Arabidopsis thaliana: one gene and its partners. The protein of the gene in region 3 purifies or fractionates together with the protein of the main gene of each other region. This does not show direct contact. Each region holds a gene or a part of one and is shown on either strand. Other genes may lie near its edges.

The links.
Region 1: the proteins of AT5G64670 (region 3) and AT4G14320 fractionate together in Arabidopsis thaliana (co-fractionation; one large-scale study listed by BioGRID). This does not show direct contact.
Region 2: the proteins of AT5G64670 (region 3) and NFD1 fractionate together in Arabidopsis thaliana (co-fractionation; one large-scale study listed by BioGRID). This does not show direct contact.
Region 4: the proteins of AT5G64670 (region 3) and AT1G16870 fractionate together in Arabidopsis thaliana (co-fractionation; one large-scale study listed by BioGRID). This does not show direct contact.

Annotation. Positions count from the first base shown.
Region 1 is NC_003075.7:8,240,105-8,245,963, reverse strand, and holds AT4G14320 (Zinc-binding ribosomal protein family protein), read left to right. Parts: upstream 1-2,053; 5' UTR 2,054-2,158; coding exon 2,159-2,161; intron 2,162-2,732; coding exon 2,733-2,912; intron 2,913-3,061; coding exon 3,062-3,136; intron 3,137-3,220; coding exon 3,221-3,242; coding exon of another isoform or gene 3,243-3,280; exon of another isoform or gene 3,281-3,534; intron 3,535-3,938; coding exon 3,939-4,123; 3' UTR 4,124-4,232; downstream 4,233-5,859. Other genes in the region: AT4G14330 (P-loop containing nucleoside triphosphate hydrolases superfamily protein), read right to left, coding at 1-396, 497-607, 697-804, 896-1,051, 1,128-1,736; AT4G14315 (uncharacterized protein), read right to left, coding at 4,791-4,970; AT4G14310 (Transducin/WD40 repeat-like superfamily protein), read left to right, coding at 5,640-5,859.
Region 2 is NC_003075.7:15,048,829-15,054,568, forward strand, and holds NFD1 (Ribosomal protein L21), read right to left. Parts: upstream 2,924-5,740; 5' UTR 2,803-2,923; coding exon 2,368-2,802; intron 2,284-2,367; coding exon 2,203-2,283; intron 2,048-2,202; coding exon 1,946-2,047; intron 1,654-1,945; coding exon 1,579-1,653; intron 1,462-1,578; coding exon 1,342-1,461; 3' UTR 983-1,341; downstream 1-982. Other genes in the region: LAP2 (Cytosol aminopeptidase family protein), read right to left, coding at 1-23, 243-476; WRKY32 (WRKY DNA-binding protein 32), read right to left, coding at 3,088-3,436, 3,531-3,689, 3,775-4,430, 4,752-4,807, 4,900-5,080. UniProt on the Arabidopsis thaliana protein: This protein binds to 23S ribosomal RNA in the presence of protein L20.
Region 3 is NC_003076.8:25,851,156-25,856,803, reverse strand, and holds AT5G64670 (Ribosomal protein L18e/L15 superfamily protein), read left to right. Parts: upstream 1-2,736; 5' UTR 2,737-2,923; coding exon 2,924-3,328; intron 3,329-3,617; coding exon 3,618-3,701; intron 3,702-3,799; coding exon 3,800-3,889; intron 3,890-4,002; coding exon 4,003-4,269; 3' UTR 4,270-4,563; downstream 4,564-5,648. Other genes in the region: AT5G64680 (mediator-associated protein), read right to left, coding at 1,473-1,807, 1,930-2,034, 2,095-2,173, 2,255-2,371.
Region 4 is NC_003070.9:5,770,232-5,776,529, forward strand, and holds AT1G16870 (mitochondrial 28S ribosomal protein S29-like protein), read right to left. Parts: upstream 3,092-6,298; 5' UTR 2,927-3,091; coding exon 2,490-2,926; intron 2,382-2,489; coding exon 2,215-2,381; intron 2,008-2,214; coding exon 1,796-2,007; intron 1,716-1,795; coding exon 1,461-1,715; intron 1,345-1,460; coding exon 1,258-1,344; intron 1,187-1,257; coding exon 1,014-1,186; intron 845-1,013; coding exon 733-844; 3' UTR 501-732; downstream 1-500. Other genes in the region: ACR11 (uridylyltransferase-like protein), read left to right, coding at 3,565-3,719, 4,101-4,146, 4,233-4,370, 4,502-4,596, 4,738-4,822, 4,919-4,978, 5,309-5,364, 5,473-5,578 and 2 more.

The DNA of each region.
Region 1 (5,859 bases), on a different chromosome or scaffold from region 3:
CAAAAGCTGGGTTCTCTCGTTTACTTTCTCTTTTATCTCCTCTTCATTGGTAGCACAAGCTTCCCTCTGTGTTAAAAGAGATCTTAAAGCAGCAACTTCCTCTTCCTTCTTCTTCAGCTGCTTTTGTGCCTCATTCCTTTCTTTTTCTTTTTGCTTCTTCTCAGACTGGAGTTTGATAATGAACTCATCCATGGCAGCTATTCTTGATCCCAAAATCACAGCAGAAGCAGACTCATCACCCCCATACTTATCTTTGTTTGGAGTATGAGACCCACGAACTATGCACTTTGCTTTTGCCCCATACTCTAGAGTACAGAGAGTCTTGTGCATTTCCTTTGGATCCGGGCTCGCACACAGGATCATTAGAATCTTTGACTTGTCATCTTCAAAAGAGTCCTGCATTCAGAGAATAGAAACAACACTAAATATCTTCAAGAAAACCAAGCAACACGTAAAACATTTTCCAGAAGATAAAACAATGGAACAAGAATTTCACCTGGAGAAGCATGGTCAGCTTGCTGTCTCTAAAGGGTACATGAGAATCTCCATTTGCTATAGATTCCACAACTCGCTTCAGTGCAATATTTCCCTGGTTGATCTTAGCAGTCTGTTGAATAATGAGAGATATAAGTCAGTTGATATCCATAACTACAATAACTTTAGTAGAATCAAACAAATTGAGAGAGGAAACATTACTTGCATCTTAGCTTCAAATCCAGTCTGCCCAGCTTGGTCTATATTTTCAGAACCAGCCATGTCAACAAGCATCAATCTTCCCCCAACAGTTGGCACATCAAGTATGATCTACAAAAAGAAACAACCACACTAGTAAGTTAAAACAGAGATAAGCTGCATAAAGCTATGCATACACATCAATCAAGAAGATCGTTCTTACAATGCAGTGACTCCGAGAACTTCTTTCGTTACAAAGTGTACTCTTCACAATTCTCCGTTTCTCCACTTTGACAATTTCTTTAGAAATCTTCCCAGCCTCTGTCCCAGAAATAAAACTTGCGTTTTTCGCCTTTTTCCCCATTACTTCAAGCCTCACCTGTAACAAAACAACAAAGTACACACCTTTAAAGCCAATTCAATGTATACTAAAGTTATCAATCAAGAAACTTTACCTTAGTGCTTGCTCCTTTAGGCCAACCAATACCTAAATTGTTACTACTATTAGTCGAAAGAAGATCATAAATCTCCTCATTATAAACCTCAAGAACAGTAACTTGAACAAAAGTAACACCATCTTGATCAGAATCTCCCAATATATCTCTCAAAGAACGATACACAATCCCAGGCTCTTTCCCACAACCAAACATAGTATGACTCTTTCCAGCACCAGTAGGTCCATACATCATAATCGTGCATTTATTCCCAACTTTCACTCCTTTAATCCTCTCTTCTATAAACTTCTTGTAGAACTCTTCAAGACCTTCTTGCTCCGAGAAAGAAACACCGTCGAGTGTGAAGTCTCTGTACCCAACATCAGCTCTGACTCGTACCGTTTGATTATCTGTGTTGACTTGTAAGATCGAAGGTGATTTCTCTTTCCGGTCAGGGTAATCTCGGATCCGGCCGATTACTTCAACTGGATGCTCCGGTGGAGATGGATCTTTAGATCCGTCTGGGTTTGGGGTTTTTGAGTGGAAATTGAGACGTTGTTTTGTTTGTGGAGTTCTGATTAAGGTGTATTGAGTTTGATTTGATCTTGAAGAAGATGGTGTCGGTGCCATTGTTGAAGAAGTTTCGAAAGAGTGAAATTGAAATTGAGATTCAGAGAGCGTTAGAGAGAGAGAAAATGAAAAAGGGGATTAGGGTTTGTGAGTGATTCACGAGGTTTGAAGTTTGAAACAAAGAAACAAACATAACCGTTGTGTTGTATCTCTAAACGGCTAGTTTTTGTCCACGGGCCACTGATTATTAACAATTTTTATTTTCGGCAACTAGAATATATTTACTTTCTTTTAAAAAAGGGAAGTGAGATGGGCCTGACTTTTTGATTAAGTTAATGGGCTTTTTGTGTTTATAGAGGCCCAATGTTTGTAGTATTAGGGTTTTCTCAAATGTCTCTCTTATAAGCTCTGTTACTTTAGGTTTTTATTAAAGGTTTTGCGGCAGTGGAAGACGACGGCACGAGCTTCACCGAAGAGCGAAAATGGTGACTCTCTTCTCTTTCTTTATTTCTGCTAAATTTCTCCTTGGTTACTATTGAAGAACGAGATTATTGATTATAGATCTGCTGTGTGATTTTTCTTCTTCTTTAAGTTGTTTATTTCTGATTTTGCATCTTAAATCGAGAATTATTAGAGTCTAATTGTGATTTTTAGAATCTGTTATGTTGCATTCTGTGTTGTAAATTCGAAGATTCAGTTCACTTCGTCTCTGTGAAGAGTTTTAGCTCCAATCTACCAGAGATTCAAAATGATATAGTGTTATGTATCTTCATTTGTGTTGCTGCAATTCTGTTCTGATTTTTAGGAGAATTAAGAAGGATTTGTACTTCAGGGACTTGTAGGATTCACAAAATGGTTATCAATATTGACTAGTTGAGTAGTCAGATCGTATGGTAGCAATTAATTCTGAATGATTTAGGAGAAGCAGGAAATTTTATTAACAAGTTTTAGGGTTTGTTCTGAAGGGCGTATTTAGATTCACTTCTATGATCGTAATTAATTCTGTATGCTGTTGAAACTGTATCTTGTGGTAGTTTTAAACTTGGTTTTCTGTAGGTGAACATTCCGAAAACTAAGAACACTTACTGCAAGAACAAGGAGTGCAAGAAGCATACCTTGCACAAGGTGACGCAGTATAAGAAAGGTAAAGATAGCCTTGCTGCCCAAGGAAAGCGTCGTTATGATCGTAAACAATCTGGTTATGGAGGTCAGACCAAGCCCGTCTTCCACAAGAAGGTATACTCGCTTTTCCTTGTCTTGATCTCTAATTACTGTCTTCTATGTGAGAACCAATTTAGGATTTCAGAATTGACTCTGTGAAATATGTCTTATAGGAATGATTTGTTAATTGGACCTTGCTCATTATTTGTCTTTCTTTGGAACAGGCTAAGACAACTAAGAAGATTGTGCTGAGGCTTCAATGCCAAAGCTGCAAGCATTTCTCGCAACGCCCGATTAAGGTAATGTCTGCGACATTCTTTACCTTTGTTAATCACTCTTTAGTCTCAGTTCTGTTTCTTACACTTTGTGTGTGGTTTTTGCAGAGGTGCAAGCACTTTGAGATCGGTGGAGACAAGAAGGGAAAGGGAACATCTCTCTTTTAAGTTGTTGTTTCATCTATCTACTTTTTTTTGTTTTGTTTGGTACCTGTCCTGCTTCAATACTGTGATATACTTTGAATCTACCAGAAATGGTCCTGGTTTTTAATTTAAATAGGACTTGGTCTTATGGATGTCTTTTAATTTGGTTAACCAATCTTTCTTCATTAGGCTGCCCTTGAGTATTCTCTATAACTTGCGACAAAGTAGACATAACACTCTTTAAGTTCTAAAAACCACTTTCTATTTTCGGATCTCGAAAAATCATTTATCGTTTTGTGCTGCAAATCAGTGTTATATATGAGCTTGGCAAATTAAAATGACATATACGTATAGAAATGAATTGATAATACTAAATATTATTTGTTTTCTTCTTTTAACTTCAGCCATACTAACTTTCACTAAATTTCTTAAGAGCATACAGAAGTTTCTCCTCGGTATATTGGTGGTTCTATATTCCCCGCAACGTGAATGGAAAATGAAGGTTCTATTTTGGCTATATGATAATCATGCCATTAGCTGACCCGAAACTAATGTGTTACAATAAAACCAAATTATATAAATAGAAGAACATGTTTCCTGGCTCCTTATTGCACAAAAGAGAACATGAACAACTCTTTTTATATTACCATGATAGTCCTATGTGTTTTGGCCTTTGTGTTAGTTTTAATTGAGAGCTGTGCGGGCAAAATGGTAGATGAGATGATATTCTCTTGTGTCTGCTGTGGTGGTCCTGGCTGCTGTGGTGATAGAGGAGAAGGACCTGTTGGTGGTGGTATTGACAATGAACCGGTGAATGTAGTAGTGGTGGTGGTGGAGCCAGGCAGCCAGCGGCGGAAGATGTGGTGACGGTCAAGGATGCTACTTCAGTTTTTCTTTTTTTACTTTATTATACTTAGATTCTGGTACTATATATATTATGGGTATAGATAATTTACACTAAAGTTTTATTTCCGTTATTTAAAATTCGTGTTTTATTTAATCTCTAATTTTCTGTTTCCAAGTCGAATTCCTCTGTACTAATTATACGGCCTTTTAATTTTACAATATGAATAGCCATTTTCTACTAACACATTCTTACCTTTTAGAGGTGTTAATTTTAAGGTAAGTTTCTTCTCTACAATTACGTAATATCATTCAAATCTGTTCATGCTGACAAAAGTTAGGTACTTTTGTGTATATTTCTCGATCATTGACATTGTCTACTACGCTAATATCTAAGGAAAGTGGCATCGATTCTACTTGCTTGTAAAACATACATCGCGATGTAAGTCAAATTCTCTAATAATGTAAGAAACGAAGTGAGAAAGAAAGATAAATCCAAAAAATTTACTTGCAAATCAATAGAGATCCAAACCAACTGCGCATGCGTTAGTCAATTGATATATTGTATATAATAGAACAAATACAATTTTTGTTTTTATAAATGTATAACCAAAAACGTAAGAGCAATACTATCGAAATAAATACGTACTGCATATTACACGATAATAATAGAAAGAGATTTGATGTTTGATCACTTGGAAGTAAAATGGAGATAGAGAAACACAAAGAGCAATACGACCGGAAACATCAAGATCATTGGAAGAGATGGTGCAGTCACCGGTCCCATCATCAACGGAACAAACAGTAACATTAGTGCAACGACAACAATCGCCAAAACCGAACCCATCCCGAATCCATACTCATTCGCCATTTTCGTCTACTTTTCGATAGGAGTAGTGATCAATTCTGTGTTAGTGTCTCTAATTGGAGAAGTTATATATACACAGATTCAGACATCAAATCTACGGTTGTGTCGTTTCCCCGAGAAGTAGAAGACAACGTTTCGTGTACTAATGCATGAAACACAAAAACTGGCGAGACCTTTCACGTTAATAACCACCTCAAAACGCTGCGTTTCGGTTTATTTGTTGCTGCCACGTGTTTTAAAAACAGCATACCCTAAACGCATCGTTTCGTGTCGCAATCAACTATTCAACTGTTACTGTATATTTTATTAAAAACGCAGCGTTTTAGTTAACAAAATTCGTGTCGCTATTTCTACACTGCCACGTGTTTCAAAATGTCGCGTTCTGCATTTGTTGCTATCACGTGTTTAATAAATTTACCTAAACGCTGCGTTTCGTTAATCAATCGACTTTTTGAACATTCGCGATCTCCAAAAATTTTGAGTTTTTTTTTTGGAAATCCCGCCCAAATATTTTGAAATTGAAACTCTAATAAATTTGTCGGCTTGTGGAGTTGCGGTAGTGATATCCTCCATTTATCGTTTTGTGCTTTTTCTTCAAAAATCAAAAGCTTTTATTTTTCCCCCAAACTTTTTTTTCAAAATCCTAAATCATTTTACCCTACGATTTTGCAGATGTCAGCTTCAACGAATCGCCGCCGGCTAAAAGATATAAACACCGGCGCCGGTGAAAATCCATCATCTGGTAAAAAACCATTGAGGTCTGTAACTCCACTTCCGATCTCAAGCAAAAATTCAAATCCCGCTCTTCAGAAATCATTATCCAGCAAAGAGAATCCGAATCCGAAGCTTAGTCACCGCTCATTTGGATCGACTCAGAAGCCAGTGCTCCGGC
Region 2 (5,740 bases), on a different chromosome or scaffold from region 3:
ATCTCCTTCCCCGAAAATGAGATCTGATACAGCAAATTCGACTAATCAGAATCCAATTAACCACAAAAATTCAAACTCGAAAGCTAATCTCTGACAAGACTTGACCATAATCGAAGTCAGCAAATCAGTGGATCATCTTAATCGGAAACAGTAAAGCGACGAATCTACAAAGCATTCACTAGTATCGAGTTTAAACACATAACAGCAAAATCGAATAATGCTGCAAGCGATCAGGAACAAACCTTAGGATGATCGACGGAGTTAGCCTGAGTGAGGCCGAGAGTAGCGTGTGAGATTGTATGAGCCATGGCTCTAGAAGAAGAGTAGAGAGGCGTGACGGCAAAAGCGAGTCTAAGGCGAGAGGGGAACTGGAATCGGACGAAACAAGAGGAGAGAGACGACGGAGAAGAGGAGAATGAGCGGAAATGGAAGCGAGAAGACGAAGAAGCGAAGGACGTTACCAAAGTGACGGCCATTTGAGTAACGCACTGAGCTTCTCTTATTTATAAGGAGAAGAAAAGCCGCGTTTGTGCTTATCTCTCTCTCTCTCTTGTTGACGATGATTCTTCTTTTACTTGACTCATTGTTTGCTTTTATCCAACCCGTCCCCACCCGACCCGATCTTAACCATGGACTTACGTACTCGTGTAGCTTTATAATTCTCTTTGGCTCCAAATTGCTTTTGTTTAAGTTCTTTATACATATTTATACAAACAATGGTTTTGATACTATTTACAAACATTCAAATATTTCAAGGCATTCTTACACGATTTTCCGATGTTGATAAAAGAAATTATAAATCAGTTCCAAGTACTATCAATTCTGTGAATCATTTGTTGATGAGGAAGTGGTTGCCATATATAGTTACAATAATAATCACCTGATCTAAAGAGTCATAGTGGAAAAAATCGAGATTTTGAGTGTAATGTGACTTGCAGTTATTACCAATTTACCACCAGTTTCATATCTGTGACCGAGACTTGCATGAAGAAGTAAATTAAACCATAACCAAACCACAGTAGTACAGTACAAAGTACAAAGCATAGAGAAGATAAGGAGAGAGATGTTTCCGCAAATCTTTATTTCTGAAACAGAAGCAACAAACAGCTCCCACAAGCATGAGCCAGTTTAAATACAAAATGAAGAGCAAGGAGAACAAGACAGTGAAAGGCAAATCACATTTCATATCTCAGGAGCCTAGTTACTTACCACTAACTACCAAGAAGGCCTTTTCATCATTTCAACGACTTTAAAATCTAGTTCTTAGTGAACAGCAAGTGATAATTTAACTTACTTCAAATGTATCGGCATCAGCAAAAAAGAAAGAAGCAAATTTTATCTCTAAGCAACTAGCTCAGCCTTCGTCTGTTCTGTAACAGCTTCTTTCGAAGGCTTATGGACGATCTTCGGTTCTGGTTTTTCAATTCCTTGTATATCGGTTATTCTCAACTTCGTCAATTCCTGGACACAAGTGTTGAATGGTCAAAAACAACAATCATAACACAGTGGAAAGAACTAGAAGAAGGCAAAGATGAAATAAACACACTGTCTATCTAAACAAGGAGTTATAAAGTATACCTGTCGATGTCCTCTCGTTCTCCTATAATTCTTTCTTCGTTTCTTTTTGAAAATGAGCACTTTTTCATCCAAAGCCTGTCACGCATCAAGGAAAAACTAGTTGAGTAATGCTGGTACATGAGTAGATCCTTCTACATTCCAAGCCCATCTTAAATCAAGACATTCAGATGATGTAGAGATAGATGAACACTAATCTAATGACTTGCAAGACTTTCACAAACTAATCAGCAGACAGTTTGATTTAGTTTCTCTCAGTCACCGGATTCAGCAAGCAAACTCTCATCTATCCTCTTTTCAATTGTAAATTATTCTTAAGCACAGCTTCACTAGTATTATAAAACACCAAGCAAGTCAATGAGACACTTACATGCTCTTCAACTACAGCATGAACTGTCGCATCTGGCAAAATAGGCCTACCAATAATCGTCTGGCTTGCCGAGCCCAATAGAAGAACCTTGGTTAGTTCCAACTGCAAAGGGACATAAAGAGAAAGGTTTTAGCAACAATCATAAATCATAAACACAAATGCAAAGGTTCGTCCTTCTTACGAGAGATACGGTAAAGTCTAGCCCTTTGAGAGAAGAATAGCAAAGATTAACGAAGAAGAGCTTGAAGCTAGCATACCTTATCATTGATGTCACAGAATTTCAACTTCTCGGTGAAAATGGAGTCCCCATTGCTAACTTTAAACTGATGCGAACCAATCTACAGGATAAAAATAACCACTCAGCATCAGTGAGAGTGAGAAATGAAACTAAAGGATTAATTGAGATAGCACAGAGACGAGACCTGAACAATGGCAAACACTGGTTCATAGGGTTTGAAAAGTCTCTCCGAAGGTTTAAGAGGACCCATCACCTTGTACCCTATCTCCTCCGCCTCTTCCACTTTCTCCGCCGGTGAATATTCCCTTTCTACTTCCATATCCGCCGAATCCTCAAAGTCTTCCCCCTCCTCCTCATCATCATCCTCTCCTTCACTGCTTTCTTCATCTTCATCAGTATCCTTTGTGTTCGAAGAGAAACAACGATCTTGAGAGCGATACCAATGACTGTACCATGGCAAATTCCTAGTGAGAGATCGATTCGGAATTACGGTCCCATGAGAAATGCTGGTCCCGGAAAACTCAATCCCATGAAATGAAGAGATCGATCGCGTCTGGTTGATGGAGAAAACAGTCGTAGCGCGGCGGCTCAGCTCACGAAAGCATCGAAGACTCGCCATCGGAGAGCACGAACACACTAGGGTTTACACAGAGTAGAGAGAAAGGGTTTTTGTTCTCGTCTTTTAGTCCCTTTCAAGTTTCAGAAGACCCTCTAGACGAACCAGAGGCTATTCACTAAAATTAGCGATTTAATATCACAATAAACATATACCATCATTACACAGACGAATGTTAACGTATTTAGTTGGTAATCTTCATGGGGTTTTTTATTATTATTATATAACAAGAACAAGGAGGCGAAAATTGAGTCGATGAACTCTATAAAACTCATAAACTACATATAATCAGCATTGCTTGATTTCGAATCCAATGCTCAACAAAGTCCTAGCTGATTCCATCACTTTCTCTCCACCAACGTCCAATGCTTCTTTACTCTGCTTCTCACTTTCTCGCCCCACCGAGCACTGGCTTGAAGTCGGAATGTTCACCTGATCGTCTGTCCTGGTTCTCATTGATGTTGGAGCGGCTGCAGCTACGAGCATTGAGCTTGGAGGACCATGGCGTTTCTTAGGCACCGGCATGTCGTGGTTGTGTACTCCTTTGTATGTGATTATTACTGCTTTTGTGTTCTCGACTGCTGTCTCAATGTGTTTACGAACTGGACATCCCGCTGAAGTGCATCGGTAGTAGTTCCTGAATGTTTGAAACAGAACAAATCAATCACCATGCGTATTAGAAGATGTCATATGTGGATAAAGAGATGGGTCATGCGTTTAGTTTTCTAGACCTTGGATGAGGATTTCCTTTCACCATTTTCTGCCCGTATTTACGCCACCTGTATCCATCACCACAGATACCAACATCACCAGCTGCGTGTACTACGAATTTGTTTTTCTTTCCAGGTTTGGAGACAGAATCTGAACTCTGTGAGTTATCTTTTTTCAGTCTGAAAAATAGAGAGAAGAAAGTCTATTAATTTCATCTTTCAAAGTGAAGAGTAAGCACCGAAATGCAAAATTCTACAAACTTGCCTTCGTTTTGGCTCTGGTTCCTCCACAGCTTCGTTCTCACAGTGTCTTTTCCGGTCAACGAGTGTTTGCGACTCACAGATGTATTCTTTAGTAGAAGCAGACGGATCTGAACCGCTAGGAACAATTGATAGCTCTTCTACTACTGTATCATCCTCTGAAACAGGCCGGATAGCTGTTGTAACTCTAATCTCTCTCGGGGAGAAGCTAGTCTTCCGGGGAGGTTCATGAGTATGTAAACCTTTGTTAACAATCTCTACCACATTGCCTGAATCATTGGAGCATTCAATTTTTTTAGCACAACATTCAGTGTATGTACACCTGTAGTAACTCCGTGAGCCCTTGGGACTCTTAACCTGCTTCTGTCCATATTTTCTCCAATTATAACCATCACGAGCCGGTGTCCTAGGAACAGGAGTAACCGACAATCTGTTAACCACCGGCGAATCTGATCTTTGCTCTTGTTTAGTTGGAACTGAAACCAGTGGTAAATCTTGTGCGGTTGAAGCAGTTGCAGGATCCAAAGATAGACATGGCGTCACTGTCAATGAGTCTGACGATGCAGCCAGAGAAGGAGATGTTTCTACCTGACGATTCTCTTCCACTTCATCAACCGGCACAATCGCACTTACAACAGTTTCCTTGACGCTATCAGTCTCCTGCCAATGTGATACAAAAAGCAGTTAAATGTCATGCCTTGATAACAGTGATTCTTGTCCTCAGAATTGCCTAAGAAATCAGACACACTAAAATGTAACAGATCAAACTGATACAGATACAGATTGAACTTGGCCAAAGGTTAAAACCATTACGATTAATCCTATTCCCATGTTATTGTATAATCACTGAACGAGTAACATCGAAGACACTGAAATGAGTTAAACTTTACAAGTTCTAGCACAATCAATGTTAATGAGAGAATCAAAGTTGTAAGTGTTAAGAAAGTTTATGAATAGCAGAAGAGTCTGAAGCAAACTCACATTCACTTCTAATACATCTTCAACATTTGGTTCCACAGAGGAATTTTCTCGAACACCTGGTAAACTCAAACATCATTTCGTCAAAAAATAAAGTCTCGAATAAATAAATAAAAACCAATAAAGAATTTTGCGCAGAATAAACCGTTACCTTGAACCTGATCCTTGCCTAGGGTTTCTCGCACAGTCTCATCATGTAAATCTTCCATATCCGCACCAAGTGATTTTTCCTCGTCTCTGAATTGACTCAGTCCGTCCTTCTCCGGCTCCACTTTCTCGCTCTTCTCCACCGTGTATGTCTTAGCTTCGTCGATACCAGTGTCTTCTTCCATGGACGATTCTCTCTTGTCCTCTTTTTCTGTATCTCGTGGGTTTTGTCTGAAGAGAGTAAAAGAAAGAAACGAACAAATTCTCTAGGCAGACAAAAAGGTAGCCGCTTTCCGACCGACTGATCTCCGGAAGAAAACGCTGCGTTTTGGTCCTTTATTATGCCTTCTCTGCTTTAAAAGCAAAAGAAGAAAGAAAAAAAGATACCAAAAAAGAAAGAGAAAGAAGGGGCATTAATGTCTTTCAGTCTTTGTTTGACTGTAGATAGTTAAACCAACTCCGTTTATTTCTCCGTTAATCACCCCTGCGTCACGTCAAATCATTGACGTGTTCCGTTTAGTTTACTATGTAAAATTTATCTTAAGACTATCTAGGATGTTTGTTTGTTTATTATCATGTGATGTGGTGATAAATAGCATAATGAATATGGTCAATGTTCTACGAATTTTGATATATCAAAGGTAATTTTTTGTTGTGTTGATCCATCTAGTTTAGATCATGACTGACCCCGAAAAGATTAGTACAGTGGTAAATTACTTACTTTATAGAGGAAACAACTGCAAGAAAAGTGGAGTTTGTTTTGCGTTCTTCCAAAATAGTGACTGAAAGAGGAAAAACATATACGTACTTTAATGTATGATAAGACTCAGCACGAAAATAGCAAA
Region 3 (5,648 bases):
TCTTTTACTTCGGACTTGTGGTCAGCTAAGGCTAGTATGACGAGTTATATTTGTGTAACTGGGCATTTTATCGATGAAGGTTGGCATTTACACAGTTATATTCTAGATTTTTGTGAGTTGAAGTCTCCGCACACTGGTGAACATATTGCTAATAGGATTCTTGATTGTTTAAAGGAATGGGGACTAGAAAAAAAGGTACTTTCTATGACTCTAGACAATGCTACCAATAATAATAGTATGGTGAAAATCCTCAAGGGTCAGCTTCAGATGATTAGTGGCAGTGGTTTGTTATGTGATGGGAAATTTCTGCACATTAGATGTTGTGCTCATATTCTTAACATCATTGTCAAGAAAGGTTTAGAGTTAGCTAAGGATGTTTTACACAACATTCGAGAAAGTGTTTTATATGTTAAAGCATCTCCACAGAGGAAAGAGGCATTTGCAGCCTGTGTAGAGAGAGTGGGAATAAGGAGTGGGGCAGGGTTATCTCTTGATGTTCCAACCAGATAGAACTCTACATATGAAATGCTCGCTAGAGCATTGAAGTTTAGAAAAGCATTTGATAGCATGAAGGCTTTTGACACCAATTATAAGTCTTTACCATCAGATGATGAGTGGGATCGTGGTGAAAAGATTTGTGACTTGTTGAAGCCATTTAGTGTAATCACTACTTATATTTCAGGTTCCAAGTATCCGACATCGAATGTATACTTCACCCAAGTATGGAGGATTGAATTACTATTGAAGAAGTACGTCACTTGTGATGATGAGGATATAAAGCAAATGGCTATGGAAATGATATTGTCACTTTAAATGGGGTGGGTTTAATTGGGGTGGGTTAGCCCATATTAACATGACTACTCACTTATGTGGTTTGGGCATAAGTGATCTTATTTCTTTATAACAACATCACTGACTTGGTTTAATTCATGTGTAAAACCAGGAAGTCATCGACACATCTGGAGGGTAAAGTCTTATGATCACTATACCATTTATTCAATCATCGACCTTTGACATCTCATCTCCAGTTTTCAATTTAAACTTTACCCTTTTTTCCCAGCTGTGGCGCGAGTTTTGTGGTTGAGATTATCTCGGAACAGTTTGAGGGGAAGAGATTGCTCGAGAGGCACCGTATTGTGAACGCTGCTCTTGAAGAAGAGATGAAAGAAATCCATGCTCTCTCGATAACGAAAGCTCAAACTCCGCAACAATGGAAGCCAATATCACAAGACTCTGCAACAACTCCAACCACAGAGGCTTGAAGACAAAAGAACAACAAACATAGCTGAAAAGCTGTATTTTACTTTTACTTTGTTCCATGGTAGCTAATAAGCTTGAACTTTTATAAGCATCTACGGCGAAATAACTTATGAATTTGAATACATTACTGGCTGTTTATCATCTGCATAATCGAAATTCAACATCTTAACAGTCACAAACATTCTCTTTGAAAAAAACAGGAGCAAAGATCTTTACTCTTCCTTCTTCACCTTCTTCTTGGACTTTGCTGATCGTTCTGAAGAGCCTGAAACCGTACTTGTTGAGCTCCGATGTTTACCTGAGGAAGACTCTGAATTTTTTCTTTTTGGCGACTTTGGAGTCTCGGTGAAGCCAGAGAACATGCTCTTCTCTCTGCTGCTACGTGTGCCGCTTTTATGCCGGCTGCTTTGAGTAAGGTTAGATGATTTCTTAGAGGAATTCGTCACTGATCCGACAAGCTTCTGTTGTGTTCTAGCCTTCATTTTCTGAAGCAACTCGTTTGGTTCAGGGTAACGAACTAATGCAACTCGCCGAGTAATCTTCCCAACTATCATAAAACGAACAACAACAGAAGAATCATTATTAACGAAACAGGTGGTAAAACAAAACTGTGTAAACTGAACGACCAAAACCTAAACAAGACACAACTGTAAAGTAATGGGAATATACCAATCATTGATTCTTCAGAAGGTATAATCAACTCTGCACCAGCATCTTGAGAATGAAAGCTAGCAAGATCATACTTTGCACCTAAACAAAGGTGTAATGAGCCAGCTTTTGGAGATCAAAACTAAAATATTAAAGAGTATGAAAGAACACAAAACATAAACATACCATTTGAATCCTTGAATTCTCCAAATAACCCATCTTTGTCTGGCTCAATCTTAAGAGTGTTCTCTTCGATTTCTGGAAACTGCGATAAAGAAAAGTCATTTAGCTGTAGAACATTACATGAGGATCAAATTTGCAATAAAGAATCATTCTCTAAACATACTTGGCCTAAAGGGGCTTGGATAAGCCAAAACTCATCAGAACGCGTCAAATCAGTGTCATCTAGCTGCTCTGCGCCACTGACTATGAAATCTCCGGAAACTTTGAAATCGAAATCCATCTCTGCTCAAATCAGCTCTCGCGATTTCACAAAACCTGCAAAATCGAGAAAACAAGTGTTAAATATAGCGAGAGCTTTAACATATATAATAAACAAAGCTTTTGAACAAACTCAAACTCTGTCAAAATCGCAATTATAAATCTCTTCAAAAGACATAAATTAGTTAGAAAAATCAAGAAACTGGATGCAAATCGGAACGAGAAAGCTAAAGAGAAAGAAAGATGGCTTCGTCGGCGGCGGAAAAGAGAGAGAATCGTTACCGGAGAAATAGCAATTCGGCGATGACCTAAAACCCTTCCCAATTTATTTCTCTGTTTTATTTTATTTTGAAGTTCACTCAAAACGACATAGTTTAGTGAATTGGCGGGTGGAAAAGACATTTGGGCCATAATGGGCCTTTAAGTGACAGTACTGAAGAAGAAAGCAATGGTGATGGATGATTCAGTAGCTCTTCACTGAAATCTCATAAACCCTAAATCCCCAAAATGGAATAATCAAAATTTCATCAGGAGATCTCTAAAATCGAAATCTACTTGATCCCGCAACGAAGAAATGTTAAGAAGAAGACTCTTGTCGATCATATCAACATCACTCATCAATTCTTCGTTTCATCAAACCGCGAAACCCAGATTCATCATTTCTTCACCACTTCTTCAATGCCGTCCTTCTCCGATCTCTACTCAAATTCCGACCTCTACGAGCAGGGCTTTGTCGTTTCAAGGAATCAGGGCTTATAGTTTATTGAGCTTGAACGATCTGAGAGACAATGTGCCGAGAAAACTCAAGACGAGGAAAGGAAGAGGTATTGGGTCTGGTAAAGGTAAAACTGCTGGAAGAGGTCACAAGGGGCAAAAAGCGAGAGGAACGATGAAGTTTGGTTTCGAAGGTGGTCAGACTCCACTACGACGTCGTTTACCCAAACGTGGCTTCAAGAACAAATTTAAGCTCCATTTTCAGGTTCAAGCTTGTGCCTTTTAGTTCTGGGATTTTCATTTCTGAGGTCAAGTTTCGGATTTTGTAGCTTCCCTTGATTCGAAGGGTTAACATTTGTGATTGATTCCTTAGATTAGGTCGAATTTGAGAATCTAAATCAGATGGATCACTCTTGTTCTTCTTTCTGTATGCCATTATTGCTGTTCTTTAGCTGCTTGTGGTGAAGTAGGTTATACTGTGTGTGTAAGGATTTAGGATTTGACACTCTATTGATGCAGCGACTAAAGATGTTTATGATTGTTTTGTGATGCAGCCGGTTGGTCTAGGGAAGATTGCTAAACTCATAAACGCTGGGAAGATAGATTCTCATGAATTGATTACAATGAAAACGCTCAAGGTTCGGTCATACTTCACTCTTTGATTCAACGGTTTAAATTGAGTTTAGGATTCTTAATATGTCTGATTCTTACTGAACACATTAACGTCGGTTTGCAGGATGTGGGAGCCATAGGAAAGCAAATAGAAGATGGAGTAAGACTAATGGGTCGTGGTGCTGATGATATCAAATGGCCACTTCATTTCGAGGTTTATCATTTGCGTTATTAACTTTTGCTCTGTAGTCTCTAGAGCCGTTGCACCAGTCAATGTATTTGCTTAGTTAGATGTTCAGTTGATCGGTATGAGCGTGTTTATTACAGGTTTCGAGAGTGACGGTTAGGGCCAAAGAGGTGGTGGAAGCAGCAGGAGGATCAGTGAGAAGAGTGTATTACAACAAGTTGGGCTTAAGGGCATTGCTTAAACCGGAATGGTTTGAGAAGAAAGGAAGGTTATTGCCAAAAGCAGCGCGACCACCTCCTAAACAACAAGATAAGGTTGATAGCATTGGACGTCTTCCAGCTCCGAAAAAACCCATTCCCTTCTTTGCAGCTGAGGAGACCAAAGTTGAATCTCCTGTTGAATCATAATTTTGGGCTGCCATTTAACGTTTGATGTTTCTGTTTAAGTTGTTTGTGTTGTTTCTTGGTCAATGTTCACCACTAGAAAATTGAGAATGTCGGATTTTAATTTGACAAATAAGGTCTTTCTCGTTTTACTTTATCTGTAGTTGGCCACAACAAGTTATTCAACCATTTTCAGACTTGTTGTTTGGGATCAAGGCCTGTTCTTGTAGAAGGTTGAGAAAACCAGAGAACAATCACGTTAGATTTGAATTCATTATTATCCGGTTTGGTTGAGGCGTTGTTAATGTTAATGAGTTCAATGGTAACTTTGCTTTTTTTGACTAAAGATGCTAAAATCTGCAACTGCAAATATATAGGTTATGAGATTATGTCCCTTTTTTGCAGTGTTATTTTACCAAAACGATGTGCGAAATTTACCTAATTTATCGAAAAGGGGCTATGATTGTCTGAATTTGAACAACCGAACGTGATTAAAGAAGAAGAAGATAGATTTCGAGGTTTCAGAACTCATTACTCTTAACAAACATGTAATGATGAGTACTGTACTGTTAATTATAGCATTGATTATATTAAATAACTACGAAAAAAAAAGAGTACTCGATTGGTATTTTATTATCAAATAAATATGTAATTAGATCGGTTTATTTGTCTTTAAAAATGATCATTACGTATTTGTTTAAAATCAAGTGCAGTTCAATATCATACACTATATTTTAAAAATGTTTCTGTTTATCTTCTTCTATTGATCACACCTTTCTGATCTTATGTACCTATTGATGATCACCTTCCGGCATAAATGTCACGTTTAATGTCAAAATAAATTAAATGGCTATAGAATTAGATGCAACCTTGGTCCATCACATTGACAAATCACAATAGACATTTCAAAGACATTATTGGTTATCATTAAAACAAATCGATAGATCCCAAGAAAAAAGTCGATTATAAATCTCAAGACCATTCTACATCAGACTTTTTAGTTACACCATATATTTCAAACCTCTTTAAAGTTTAAAGATTTGATCTATTCTTTTACAAACACACATACAAATTAGTCCTTGTGATATAATATTCAAAGTCAATTTTCGAACTAATCATAAACTTTTTCAGATAGTTAAATTATTATTATAATAACAAGAACACGTGTATATCATGAGGATGATCGGCTCACACACTTTGATACGTGCAATATTACAAATTCGAGCTATCCAAAAAATAATACAACTTCCAATTACAATTTCATAATAATAAATCATATGTTTAGCCTTGTCGACATTAATCAAACAAAAATAACCATTTTCTTGGCATTACCAAAAAAAAATAAAATAAAAAACATTTACACCAACTTAAAACTCAAAAGCAAAGGGTAAAAGAGAGGAACC
Region 4 (6,298 bases), on a different chromosome or scaffold from region 3:
TTTTTCATGAATCTGGAAAAAATGTGATCTTGCTGGTGGGTTCGTTTGGTGGTGGTTGTAGTGTTATTTTCTTTCCTTTTAATTCTCATTAAAATTTTTCTTTTGGGTCTCCGAGTTATTACGGTTAGGATGGTGATGCTTGGAGGGTGTGGTTTCATTTTCCTAAGATGAGCTAATTGTTTTTTCTTCTCATTCTTCTTCTTCGCCTTTTGGTTTGTATAGCTCTTCATGTCTATTCTTTTTCAATAGAACTTGTGTACTTTTCTCAATGTGTTATGTTATGTCTAAATTTTTCCTTTTTGTGAAAACAAACATCAATTTGGTGTTCTTTTTAAACCTATTTGGCTATCTTCTATGCTATATGGTTTTGGTGTAATCATAACTCCGCACAATAAATATGCAGTTCCGCAATTTCTTCCCATCAATTGCCTGTTTTGTGAGTGATTCTTTCACTCTTTCACAACTTTTTATTTTTGCATAACATTGTTATCAACTCGAGCGATAATAAATGAGAGGCACTGATTTTATTAGAAAGAAATTTAGGTCCAAAAACCAGTGTTTTACAGACAACAAGGAAACCTAAAACTACAAACTCAAACAACAAAAATCTTCCTTTAATTCAGAAAGGTCAATGAAAAGAGTTTCTCTCCCAAACTAACGGGATAACTTAAAACACCAGAAAAGGCGACAAATCAAGATCACAATCTATTTTGTTTGTTTGTATATTGTTCCTCAACGCATGAAAGGGGCTAACCAACGCATCTCTGCTCCATTTCCATTTGCCAGATAGTATATCTTCTTCCAGTTTTCTTCGTTGAATACTTCACGCCGAACTAGTCTTTGCCTGAAACAATACCATATTGAACGTTCGTGAAATCGATATTCGGTTTAGGCCCATACACATGTCAAGTAGATAGACTCAATAATGAACTATAACTAAAAAACGGGTCTGATCAGTTGAGAGGAGGATTACAGAGCTGAGTACTATTAAAATTGGTTTCATGTTAACTCACCGAAGGTAGTAATAGCAGACAGCTTCTGCTTCATCCAAAGAATAACGTGGGAATTGCTGACGAGCATCAACTGGAACATCTGGCAAGTCTTTGCGTAGTTTTCCTACTGCTGTTGAATGTGAGAATGCACCCACCATCATATCTTCATGCATCATGCTTCTGAAAGCATTCACCTGCCAAAAGAATTGAGTTAATTGCGATTTTTGTTTTCTGGATCATAAATCAATTTGGAAGAAAAATTCACCGTTGTAAGTTCTCTGGCATGTATAGGTCGGCAAGAACGCGGTGTTACGGGCTCTTCAAACTCGCTGAATGTAAACCAACTGTTATACTGAAAGACAAGTAAACAACAAGAAACAAGCAGCATTAGCTCTAGTGAAAAAGAGAGAGATTTAAAATAATAGAAGGCGAAATATGGTATCATAAAGGGGAAAACTGGGGACTAACTTGATCGATTACAATCAACACTGGTACATCTTTTACAACTGAGAGTTCTTTTCTAAGTCGCACAACGACATTAACAGCTGCATGAGTGCTCTTAATTCCCATTTGCACAAGGTCATACAGAGTTGAATCCTCGGGAATAGGCATAGCATCTGCTCCTTTCAAGTATCCAACACCCGCACCCTCTCCAAGCACGATAGGATCATGGATTTTGCACCGTAACTCTCTTAAGCGGGATTCATTGAACTTGACAAAATCCTACAGAAGTTAAGTTTATTAAGAAATGCTGTTAAATAGGAAGAATTCCATTCCAAAAGAGGAGGCATGTGGAATCTTGCCTTGAGAATATTCTCAGCTTGTAGAGGAGTGTCCCAAAACCCTGTATGTGGATTCTTATAGAAGTAGCCACCGTGAGTCCAGTCACGTCCTTTTGGTGCATATAAAACTAACCAGCCTTCGTCACGTGCCCAGTGAACAAGCATCGCCAGAGCAATACTCTTTCCACACTTAACAGGGCCATCCAAGACAATCTGCTTCTGAAGTTTGACACCTTTTCAGAAAGAAAGAGGAAGCAATGATTATAAATACCTATGGTATTACAGATCCCCGGATAAGGGCATATGACAAGCAAGACTTAGCAAACAAATTAGGCTGCTTTCGTTTCAAAGGAAAATAAAAACACACAAAACTGTTAACCATAGAAGAGATCACTAATCGTGATACTTAGAAATCAACATAACGGAAACAAAGAACACACCTTTACTGTCACTTGGCCACATGGGAGGATCAGCAATGCGTCTAAAATTATCCCTCAGAGCCAAGTAACTTTTTCTGACAAGCAATGCAGGTCTCCATGATTCATTAAACTCATCTTCAATTCCTGAAGCTAATCCTTCCGGCAGAACTGCTTTCAGTGCTGCCTCACTATCATTCCCACAATATATATATTACATCAACACACACAAAACGATTCATACAAAATTCTAAAAATAGATAAACAGAAACATAAGGGAAAGAGAGAATTGAGATTACTCGAATTTGAAGTAGGAGCCAATATCCTTGTGAGTCAGCTGCGATAGTGTAGTATCTTTGGGAGTAAAGAGAGGCCTTCCATTAGGACCAACATCTAGAGACGGAATCTTCTCATCATCAGCTAGTCTCTTGGCACGACCCGCTTCAAGGTCGTCTCCACCGGCGGCTCCAAACTCTCCTTCCTCAGCTCCGGCGGCACCAGGATCGCCGCCTTTAGGTTTGGATTTTTTGCCTTCAGATTTCTTCGTTTTGGTGATTGAAGATTTCGTGCTCTTCGAAGATGAAAAGCATCGATGAACGTGATCTAAACTCGGGAAAAGTGTTCCCACGGCGGCTGAAGTCGGAGGTGAGAAATGACAAACGGTATTATTTAGAATCGAAGACTTCCGATTCAATTTGGCATTCCCGGCGGCGATTCTTAAACCGTACTTCCACATTTCTCTGGTTCGTATCTCTTGAGTCTGACTCAAGGTTTTAGGGAGGGATTTGGACGCAAATCTGACGAACCAACGAGAGGGATGAAGCAGCGAGAAAGTGGCAAACTTGTAATTTTCGATATGATGATCACTTTAGCGTTAGGCCCATTAAACAGTGGGCTGAAGCGTTTGAGATGAAAGTTTGGGCCATAAAGGCCATTACTTATAAAGGATGACGTCATGTTCCATTTAACCTAGTTATTTGTTTTAGCGCCACCTAATGTTTTAACTAGTCGGTAAAACACTGACCAATAGCATGTCACATCCGATAAAATCGGGGCCAATAGGAATGTGAAGAATTTGTCGAATTGTGTACTTTTTTAAATTTTAAAAGAAGACAATATTTGGTGGAATTTAAAAAGAAAATGTAAAAGTAGGCAAGGAAAGGGAAAGCAAGAGAAATGGCGATCTAACGTTGAAGATAATAAGAAGGACGAAACGGGCATTTTTTTTTTGTGTGTGTGTGTCACATCTTTTTTATTATCCTCTCATGGCGGATAACACGAGACCTGTCCAAAGGCTCTTCTTCTTCTTCGTCATCACTACTACTACTCCTCTCTAACGTTTTCCTCATTCTTCTTAATTCCGATTTTTGAGTGATGGCTATGGCCTCTGCTTCTGGTTCTGCTCTTTGCTTCACTGATGCTTCTAGCTCTCTTGCTTTAAGACGCGATTGTGGAGCTCTTTGCTTGCCTCCTAGGACAGTTACGTTTGGATTTGTCGATAAACCTCTTGTCAATCTCGAGCGATTAAGGTTTTTGTTTTTTGGCTATCTCTTGATGCCTTCTTGAGAATTTGAATTCGAGCTTCTTTTGGATTGCTTTTTCGATTGTGATCTTAGTTTTGTGCTGATTCGAGTTTCATGAAGTAAATACTGTTTCCGAAACAAATTCTTTTGTAGTGAATTTTCTCCACAGATCTCTAAATCCTTAAAAAGCATCTGATACCTTTTTTTAACGATTATCAGAATTTTGTGTTCCGAGTTGCTAATCTTTTTAAAATGTCCAAATGATTTTATTGCTGGTTATAAATTCGTATCTTTTGCTGGAATTCGATTCAAAGCACAGATTGTTTTGAGCTGATCTTCTACGGATTCAAATACTTCAATTCAATTCTTTTTTTTTTTTTTCTTCAGATTATCCACTTTGAAGATTAGAGCATCAAATGCTACTGCTGTGGAGGTATGAAAATGAAATGATTACACAAGGACACTAGTAATTTGAATAGACTTTTTAAAGTTTATATGTTTTTGTTTTTGATTTTGAAGAATGGAAAGCAAGAAGGAAGTGCTGCTGATTCTGATAAAGTTCCAACTCCAGTTGTTATAATCGACCAAGATTCTGACCCTGATGCAACCGTTCTTGAAGTTACATTCGGAGATCGTCTTGGAGCTTTACTTGACACTGTAAGGAAGGATACCTTCTTCTTACTCACTTGTTGCTAGCTCTGCATAATCGACCAACATTCACAAAAGCTTCTTACTTCCTTTCCTGCTTTTTTGACTGCTTCTTGATCTGATCAACTTTGCCCTTCTAGATGAATGCGCTCAAAAACTTGGGATTGAATGTCGTCAAGGCAAATGTTTACCTTGATTCTTCCGGCAAGCACAACAAATTTGCCATTACTAGAGCGTATGTCTTTTCATATCATCAAAGAGTATTTTGAGCTCCAAGAGTCGTTTAGATAGTTAATGTTGCTTTGAATCGATTGACTCTGTCAAATAGTTGACTTTAGATTGAGTTTTGAGCTGACTGTAATTGTTGTTACAACAGAGATAGTGGAAGAAAAGTAGAAGACCCTGAATTGCTTGAGGCCATTCGTCTCACAGTCATAAACAATCTGCTTGAGTTTCATCCTGTAACTACTTCACATCCTAATATCCTCTCTTTCTATTTTTCCTATATCTTGCATAATTTTTTAACTCACACATTGCTTCTCGATGATTTGGATCAGGAATCAAGTTCTCAGTTGGCAATGGGAGCAGCTTTTGGTGTTCTTCCTCCAACTGAACCGGTAAAAACCTTAAACTGTGATGCTCTTTTTATAACCTTATCCACTTCTTTTGTATTGCACTAATTCTTCAAGTAGTTAGCATCCTCGAACATAAAGGTCAAGACTGCTTGTCGTTTCCTCGGTCACGTACAGATAAGAAACAATAATAGAGAAAACAAAGACTTAACTAATAATCAACATATTTGGATTTGGCGGGTCAATGTAGAGTACAAGTATTAAACTTCATTATAGTATTAATCACTTTGATGAAGAAGGGAATACCCACGCAACTTCAAAGTAGCTTCAAAATTCATTTTCCTTCTTCTGTATTTTGGATTGGGATGTTGACAGATTGACGTGGACATAGCAACACATATAACCATTGAAGATGATGGACCAGACCGCAGGTAATGTATACCCATACCTTATCTCAACTCTAGAACCTTATCCAAATGCTTTTATTCTTATGATATATGATCTGATCATTGATCCATAATTATTTGTTGATGATGCAGTTTACTCTTCATAGAATCAGCGGATAGACCTGGACTATTAGTTGAGCTGGTGAAGATCATTTCAGATATCAGCGTCGCTGTTGAATCTGGAGAATTCGACACCGAGGTATCTAATAATCCTGTTTTTTAATGTCTAAAACATATACCCTCCGCTATAATATCGCTCTGTTTCTCATGTTGCTTCTTCTTGTTGTATGTGAAACAAAAAGGGTTTGTTGGCTAAGGTGAAGTTTCATGTAAGCTACAGGAACAAAGCCCTAATCAAGCCTCTCCAGCAGGTTAAAATTCTGAAATTAGACTTTTCTCTTTGATAAGTTGAAATGTTTTTACTGAAATGAAATCAAATTTTGTATTTGTAGGTCCTTGCTAATAGTCTGAGGTACTTCTTGAGGCGTCCATCAACTGACGAGTCAAGTTTCTGATTATGCCCATTTTTCAAAATCTCAAGTCTCATTCCTCGTGACTACTATTTTTACCACTTTTTTTTTTTTTTACATTTGACCAAAATAAGCTGCTTCATACACCTGTAATAGTAACATTATGCATCATTCATCCAATTTACTTTGATTCACAACCTGTGAAAATCTGATTATCTACACCACTTTATAAAGATTATTATAGAGCATATATAACAAAAACAAAGATCAAAAGCAAGCACAATTGAAGAAAGTTAGATTCCAGATATGGGTAAACGAGTCTTAGATCCCCCTAGTTATACAAATTCAGAGAGTACAAATCTTTTTCCTCTGTTTTCAGAAAAAGGATTCAGATAAAACCTTGAGATAGAGTTTCACCATATATAATGTTATTTAAATGACAATGATCT